Rattus norvegicus: one gene and its partner. The protein of the gene in region 2 interacts with the protein of the main gene of each other region in a pairwise test. Links are inferred from orthologs where the notes say so. Each region holds a gene or a part of one and is shown on either strand. Other genes may lie near its edges.

Region 1 (4,365 bases), on a different chromosome or scaffold from region 2:
CAGGATTACAGGTATAAACCACCACATCAGGCTATTTTAATTTCTTTCATTCGATTCTTCCTTGAGGGAATGTTTGTCAGTTCATTTGATTCTTACTTGAGGGGATGTTTTTCAATAAGGAATGCTGTTTAAATAAAAAAGTGAAATATTCCAGTTCTCTGGCAAAGTAGGAGAAATCAACTACGTGGACCAAACATGGAAGTCATTTACACAGAAAGCACACGCCCAGCAAGTGCAACTTAGGGTGGAGTTGATTCCAGCATTCACAAGGTCCTGGGCCAAAACAGAAAACCTCCACAGGGAAACTAGACTATGGGCGGCAGGACAAATGATCAGTTCTCGAAATGTTTGAATCTGCATCATAGGGTTGAACTGCGAGCCCACCTGCCTTGCCCACGGAGTTGAATTCTTTTTCTTATACTTCTTAAATCGGCTTCTTCTGGGGATACGTGAACTCTTATTGACTACAGTTCTCTACCGTAGCCTCCACAGTGACTTACGGGTGTGAGGCTATGGCACTGACACATTTATGCTACTCCCTCACTAATTAATCTTTAACCTCCGTTCCCCGTTGAGAAAATCCATGTAAGCTTACATGGAGCCCTACACATTTTGTAAGTACACTTCTAATCCCAGCACCTGGGAAGCGGAGCCAAGAAGAGGCATCGCAAATTAGAGGACATCCTTGATCAATAGAGTTCCAGGCCAGCATAAAGTGATAGACTAATTATCACAGGAGGGGAAGGGAAGAAAAAGTTGAACACGGTGAACCTAGAGCTCTAGCAATTTCCAAGACTCAAAACCAAAATGGAGTAGGGGAGACGGAGGATGGATGGACAGATTAAGATCTCTTCTTTATGCTGTATTTGAAGGTGGGTGTGAGCATGTACTACGGTACCGTTGTGGGGTCAGAAGACAACGTGTGGCAGTTGGTTCTCTCACCTTGTAGACCCTGACGATTGTATGCAGGTTGCCAGACTTGGTGGCTTTTACCTGCCAAGCCATCTCAACAACCTGAAGGAACGCCTTTGTTTTTTTTTTTTGTTTTTTTTTTTCCGGAGCTGGGGACCGAACCCAGGGCCTTGCACTTCCTAGGCAAGCGCTCTACCACTGAGCTAAATCCCCAACCGAAGGAACGCCTTTGAATACAGAAGATGGATTTTTTTTTTTTACATTGATAGTCTCCCTTCATATATGTCTGTGTCATATCCCCTAGAACTGGAGTTATGGACAGTTGCGAACTGCAGCGTGGGTCCTGGGATTTGTACCTGGGTCCTCTGGAAGCTGAGCAATCTTTAGAGCCCCAGAAAATGGTTCCTTTTTTGTGGCTGTTCTGAGGACCAGGCTGGCCTCAGATGCATAACACTCTTCCAGCCTTCCTCTCTCAAGTGCTAAGAGCACAGGCGCGAGCCACCAAATACAGCAGGACCTGTGTAAGGACCAGTTACCCCTGCTGATTTTTGCTTTGTTCTACCAGGCTGGACTCAAACTTTCTACAAAGCAGATGAGTTTGAGTTCCTCCTGCCTCTGCTTCCTGAGTGCTGCTACTTAGAGGCACAGTGTGCGCCTGCAGGGCCACTGCTCTACAGACAGGGAATCCCTAGTCGCTTAATGATGCGTTTCCGCCTTCTTTTTTGTTCTCTTTTCTTAACAAACAAAAAACAAAACAAAACAACAACAACAACAACAACAACAACACCCAAAAGGGGGGGCGGAGAAAAAGAGAAAACTCTTTACTTTCTAAGGAGTGGAGGGTCTTGTGCCTGCCACTCAGGAGCCCAACACCTGAACTACATCATTCTGCTCTGTCACCTCCATTATACTACTTAGGACTCATCAGGTCTTTAGCTAGAAAATAATCGACTCATTTTAATTTACTTTCCAAAATACAGCACTCTCCCAAAGATGCTGAAAGTTGCTAATTAGTAGAACCACAGTACTCTAGTTGAAAAAGATCACTGGATGCCATCTGCACGTCTTGTATTGTGTAAGAAAGTTCCTGAAGGAACCCTTCCGGAGACCGTAAGGAGTCTGTGACAGGTTTTCAGTCCAGAAGGCTAGGAACACATGCAGAAAGAAATCAAGACTGTCAGCAGCCGGCCACACCTAGGAATAGTTTTTGGAAAAGTAGACTCTGCTGAAAGCAATCTGCCCTGTTAAACCCGAGGAACCAGACAGAAGCACCCAGAACACCTACTATGAAGCAGATACAGGGCTACAAAACGCATTTCCAAGACCCGACAGGGCCCCATCCCTTACAACCCTCATCACTAGAACCAAAGGGAGCTGGGGGAATGAACGGCAGGGGAATGGTTAAACGGGAGCAATAGAAGGCATGGCACTAAGGGCTTTCCGACTTGATCCTGAAGGAGATGGAGAACTATCAGGAGTCTCTTAACAGTATTCGTGACTGTGACACGGCTGCGCACTGCGTGCCAAGTGCAGACTGGCAAGGAAGGGCAGCGCAAACCAAGTCAGACGATGGATGGGCCTAAGAGGCTGGGCAGCGGGCGCGCTGACGTGCGCAAGCGGGGCATGGCAATGGGTAGGGTAGACCCACGGAAACCGCCTAGTGAGGCTCAGGGTGAGGGTCCTGGGGCCGGCAGGGAGCGAAAGAGGAAGCGAGTAGCCGGCACGGCGCGCCTCTCCTGAGCGCCGCCGGCAGCCTCCGATGCCTCCCTCCTCCCAGCCTCCCCTGCTCGCCCGCTGACCGAAAGAGTTGAGAAAGTCCGAGATTTTCTTGATGCTGCTGGTGATGATCTCAATGTACTCCCGGTTCGCCCAGTCCTGGTGAATCTCTCGCTGCACCGGATCCTCTTGTCCCGCCATGGCGGCAGCCTGAGGAAGAGTGACTGCGCAGGCGCCGCGACCTCCACAGGCCTCCAACGCGCCTGCGCTGCCGCCGGCACCCAAGTGTTCGAGCCCCAGAAAGTCCTGGCATTGAGGCGCGCACGCGCAGACTAACTGTCTTCACCGTTCCAGTTTGGCTCCCACGCAGGGGAAAACAAGGCTCCTCCACTCGCACTGTGAAGACTGAGAGCTACCCTGTCCCCGCCTGCACAAACCCGCTGATCACTAGCGGGTCTTGTCGTTAGGGGACGCCCACACGCTCCTACCTCCACCTAGGGTTGCTCCAAGCTTTCTTGCGCTTTGTCAGCAGATTTGGCCACAGTCCACAAATCCCGTTCAAGATGCTTTTCATGCTTGGGTCACAACTCTGCTCATTCTCGTTTTCTTTTAAAATTGTTATTGTTGTTGTTTGTTTTTCGAGACAGGATCTCTCTGTGTAGTCCTGGCTGTCCCTAAACTCACTCTGTAAACCAGGTTGGTCTCGAACTCTGAGATCCACCTGCCTCTCCCTCCTGAGTGCTGGGAGTAAAGGTGTGGGCCACCACCGCCATGCTAAAATTTTTATTCATATTACGTGTGTGTAAGCGTACATGTGACACAACACGCAAGCAGAAGTTACAGGACAACTTTCAGGAGTTGGTTCCTTGCCTTCCATTTTCGGGTGGCAAGTGTCTTTATTAATCGAGGCATCCCACGGATTCTGAATCTCCATATTGACCAAATGAGCAAACTACATTTTTAATGCTAATGCCCAGCGATGGACAGGCTGAAGCAAAATGGTAAGTCTCAGTGTAAACTAGAGCAATTTCTATCAAGAACTGCAAAAGCAATCTCTAACCTTTCCACCGAGTCATTAAGAAAATCGTTAAAGGAAGTGGTCATCGCGCATGCTTGTAACTTCAGCACTCAAGAGACTGAGAGAAATACTTTAACCCTAAGAATTGGGCTTTGAGGTAGTGCCTGCTATAGTAATTGCAGTAAAGCTAAACAAAGGTGGAGTCAACCCTTGTGTGGTGGTTTCAATAGGTTTGGCCTATGTTTGAATACTTGACCCATGGGGAGTGGCTCTGTGAGGAGGTGTGGCCTTGTTGGAGTGGGCATGTCACTGTGGGTGTGAGCTTTGAGGTTTCCTAGTGTTCAAAGTCTGGCTGGTGTGGAATCAGAGCCTCCTCCTGGCTGTCTGCAGAAGACAGCCACCTCCTGACTGCCTTTAGATCAAGTTGGCCTGCTGGGTACCATGCTTTCCACCATGATGAAAATGGACTGAACCTTTGAAACTGTAAGCCAGCCCCAATTCAATGTTTGACTTTCTAAGCGTTTCCTTGTTATGGTGCCTCTTCACAGTGTTGGAAACCTTAACTGAGACACCTTTGTAGATCAGGCTGGTCTCAAACTCAGAGATTCACCTGCCTCTGCTTCTAGGGTGCTGGGATTAAAGGCACACCTCATAACCACCCAGTGCCAAGATGTAAAATTTTTAAAAATTTTAACTTAGGCATCTACCTTGGGAAGGGA
Region 2 (3,718 bases):
GAAGTTCAATGATCACCCCTGGGAAGGAACACACTGAGCAGTCAGAAGTTAGGCTGGGCCTCAGTTCCCTCAACAGACACAAGAATGCAAAGATGTTTGGGATGTCCTTAAAAGGGAGGGCCTTGGACTTGGGCCACCCAGGAAAGAGATGGGCCAAAGCCATTGTTTGGTAGGGGTATTTCCTATAGAGGGTCAATCCCAGCAGCTGGGGACCCAGCCCTTCTAGTCTGAAGGGAGTCGATACATTGTGGCTGCTGCCTGCTACGGTGTATCAACACTACTGTCTCCATGCAAGACAGCTAAAGAGCAGGAGTCAAGCTAAAGGACTGGTCTCAGAGGCTAAGACTACGTACTTCCTACTAGGAATGGAGAATCTCCTATCCTACAGTAGCCAGAGCCAGAAGTTCCCTTCTGCTCACCCAGAGCTCCCAAAGCTAGAGGACGTTCATGCAAACTAAGCACAGGCCGCTGAATGAAGACTTAATAACTCTCTGGGCTTATCTTTTCAAGCAAACGATACTTTTATTAACATGTAAGATTTTGTTTTCAACATGGTAAGGGTTTTGACCTCAAATGCTTATCAGGTCTGCCACACATTTATAGCTTGACTACATATGAACCTTGAAGACGCCTCTTCCTTGAAGTTTTGGGTCCATTGCAGGTTTTCCTTCTCAGTACACAAAGGGTATTGCAAGGATCTTTCATTTTACGCCCAGGATCTCCTCAAATATATGGGGATACCAACTTGTACAGACGAACAAGACCTCATCTCCCATACCGGGTTCCGTTTCATTTAAAAATGAGTTAGGCTGTCCCAACAAACTCATCAGGCAGGTTATAATAGATAGTGTAGCACATAAAATTTAAAATTTGCACAAAATACATCTCTCCTCCTTTGGTCTCACACAGAAATTAAAGTCCCCCCATAGAAACAATACAATCCTCCGACCCTTCTCCCAGGTCATCAGTCCTAGCCGTGTAAGGCCCATCCACAGTCCCAGATGAAGTCTGGGCCCTTCTTCTGCCATTGCTGCATGGAGTCCTCTTCTAGAATTAACGCAGCTTCTTCAGAACTTTCAGAGGCGGTGAGCTCCAACTCCAAGTCTCAAGTGTCACAGGGACCCAAAGTTCAGGGAGCTATCAGGTCACCCAAGAAAGAGCAAAGCACCTCAAAATTCAGGAACAACAACCAAAGCCCAGGAATGAACGTTATTCAACTGCCACAGGGCTTACAATCTAGGCCCTAATTCCCGTATGTGAGCGCATTTTCCAAATCAAAGTTATTTTCCCCAAACAAACAAAAAAAAAGGAACCACTGAATAATCAAAAACTCATATCGAGGTCGTCAACCGCAGACCATAGCAGAAACGTAGTGTCAGTGAGAACAGAGTGAAGACAGAGGGGAAAAGAAAAAAAAATAAAGAAAGAAAAAAGGAAAACAAAGGCTCTCTGGTTTCAGCTTCTCCAGGGTGTCATGTCAGCCAATCGCCATCACTCAACCAGAATCCATTGGCTGGAAACCTAAAGCACGGGCGGGAGAGATGCATCACCGAAAGGTTAATCACGCAGGACAGTAGAGCAAACACCCGGACCCTCCTGGAGATTGCCTTGCTCAGGGCCTCATGCTTTCCAGCACAATCTGGAATCTTCCAGGGTCTCCCCACCGACAATTTGCTATACACCTTCCCCAGAGGGGCCTAGTTTACTCCGGGGCGACAAGCCAGCCTCCTCCCCTCAGTCGCCCACGCCCCACCAGGCTCCCGCCCTTACCGCGGACGGCTCACGAAGACTCGCTCTTCTCTATCCGCCGCACGAGCTGCACCAGCATCTCGGCCATCTTCGCCATCTCCTGCGCCTTCTCGTCGGCCTTCTCCGCCCTGGGGCCGCGGGGCTCGGCGCCGCCCGCGCCCTGCAGGTGGTTGAGAGCGCTCTCCTCAGAGGCCTCTACCTGCGTCTTGATCTGGATCAGCATATTGTCCATCTCCCACAGCTTGCCCCGGTTGCGCACGGGCGCGCGTCCGCGCTCGCGCGTCAGCGACGCGATGTCCTCGCGCATCTCGTGGATGACGGGCAGCAGAAACTGCTCGAAGTCCTCCTCCGGCTCCAGCACCTCCACCTCCTCGGGCTCCGCCAGCTCCACTGCGTCCAGGGGCCGCATCTCCGCTGCTTTGCTTGTCTGCACGACACTCAGTGACCGAGCTCGGGCCGAGTCTTCAAAACTTCCGCCGCTGTTCCAACTTTCTGCCTCGGAGAAGCCACGGAGACGAGCGGCTGCGAAGCAGACGAGCGGCGAACAAAATGGAGTCCCAACCGTCAACCAGAGCTCTGCGCCTTGCGACCACTTTCACGACACAGCCGCGCCCCTCTTTACGGCCGCGGTGCGAGGTGCGGGCGCGCGCACGTCCATGAAGGGGCGGAGCAAGCGCCTCCGCGGCCGCGCGCAAACATCAGCTCGTCACACCTCTAAAGCTCTTGGTGATGCACTCTTCTCTGAATGATGCCAAGTTCACTCCTCATTGTTTCTTATTCTGATTTTATTTATTTACCTTTTGAAACAGGACCTCACGTTGTAGCAAGGCTGTCCTGGAACTCAATTATTTGGCTTAAACTGATCTTGAACTCTGAGCAATCTTCTTGCCGTACCTTCCCATGTCTGACAAATTTACTTTTAAAAAAAAAAGAAAGGAAGGAAGAAACGTAAAAGAACGAGCCTGCTTGCAATCCCAGCACCTGGGACGCAGAGGCCGGCAGATTGTTGAGTTTGAGGCCATTTTAGTGTACATAGTGAAATCCAGTAGTGAGACCCTGTTTCAAAACAAAACAAAATTAACAAGCAAACAATAACAAAAAACAGCTTTCCAAAACTGGGAAGGAGGAAAATTGGAAATCCACAGTGTGGACAGTCATACTGCTCATAGCTCCGCCTCTTGATTAATTTAAGTGTAATTATCTTATCTTGATTGATGAGTGCCTGGGTGTTTTTTACCAGACAGAGCTCCTGGCTTCCTGAGGTGAAACTATTGTCTGATGCGTTCTGAGGTCCCAGCTGACCCAAAGTTCAGTTGGTGATCACCTGATGTGGAAAGGACAGAAGTTGTCGTAGTCAAACAATTACTCAACACTGAACTTTAAGGGAAGATGCCGAATTCTTAGTCTCTTGATCAGACAGCACTTTCTCAAGAATATGAACCATGTATCTCGCTGGTTTTCCAACCAGGAGTCATGAAACCACTTTGCAAATACCAACCATAGGCATATTTAAAATGCATATCTTTAACTGGACTCTTCACACTCAGTGGCTTTTTTCAATTTATTTATTTATTTATTTATTTATTTATTTATTTATTCTACATAAGTAAATACATTGTAGCTGTCTTCAGACACACCAGAAGAGGGCATCTGATCCCATTACAGATGGTTGTGAGCCACCATGTGGTTGCTGGGAATTGAACTCAGGACTTCTGAAAGTAGTCAGTGCTCTTAACCACTGAGTCATCTCTCCAGCCCATATGTTCCGTGGCTTTTAATTTAAAAAAAAAAAATCCAGCCTTTAGGTTTTCTTGACAGCATGGAAGCTATTGCAATTAAGAACATGAATGAGAGTAAATGGTTCAGAGGACAGTGAGGTTCTGTTGCACGCTGCATTAGGATAGTTAGATTGCAGAACCCTGACCCAGGGAAAGGCTAGAAAGCATCGATCCCAGGAAACCCTTTTCCT

Evidence for each region.
Region 1: the proteins of Mrfap1 (region 2) and Brk1 interact in binary tests that used the Homo sapiens proteins (3 or more experiments, as listed by UniProt). The link is inferred for Rattus norvegicus from reciprocal best matches to the Homo sapiens genes MRFAP1 and BRK1.

Annotation. Positions count from the first base shown.
Region 1 is NC_086022.1:148,304,921-148,309,285, reverse strand, and holds the start of Brk1 (protein BRICK1), read right to left. Parts: upstream 2,851-4,365; 5' UTR 2,830-2,850; coding exon 2,712-2,829; intron 1-2,711. UniProt on the Homo sapiens protein: Involved in regulation of actin and microtubule organization. Part of a WAVE complex that activates the Arp2/3 complex. As component of the WAVE1 complex, required for BDNF-NTRK2 endocytic trafficking and signaling from early endosomes.
Region 2 is NC_086032.1:78,225,787-78,229,504, reverse strand, and holds Mrfap1 (MORF4 family-associated protein 1), read right to left. Parts: upstream 2,281-3,718; 5' UTR 2,159-2,280; coding exon 1,781-2,158; 3' UTR 1,771-1,780; intron 1,522-1,770; 3' UTR 503-1,521; downstream 1-502.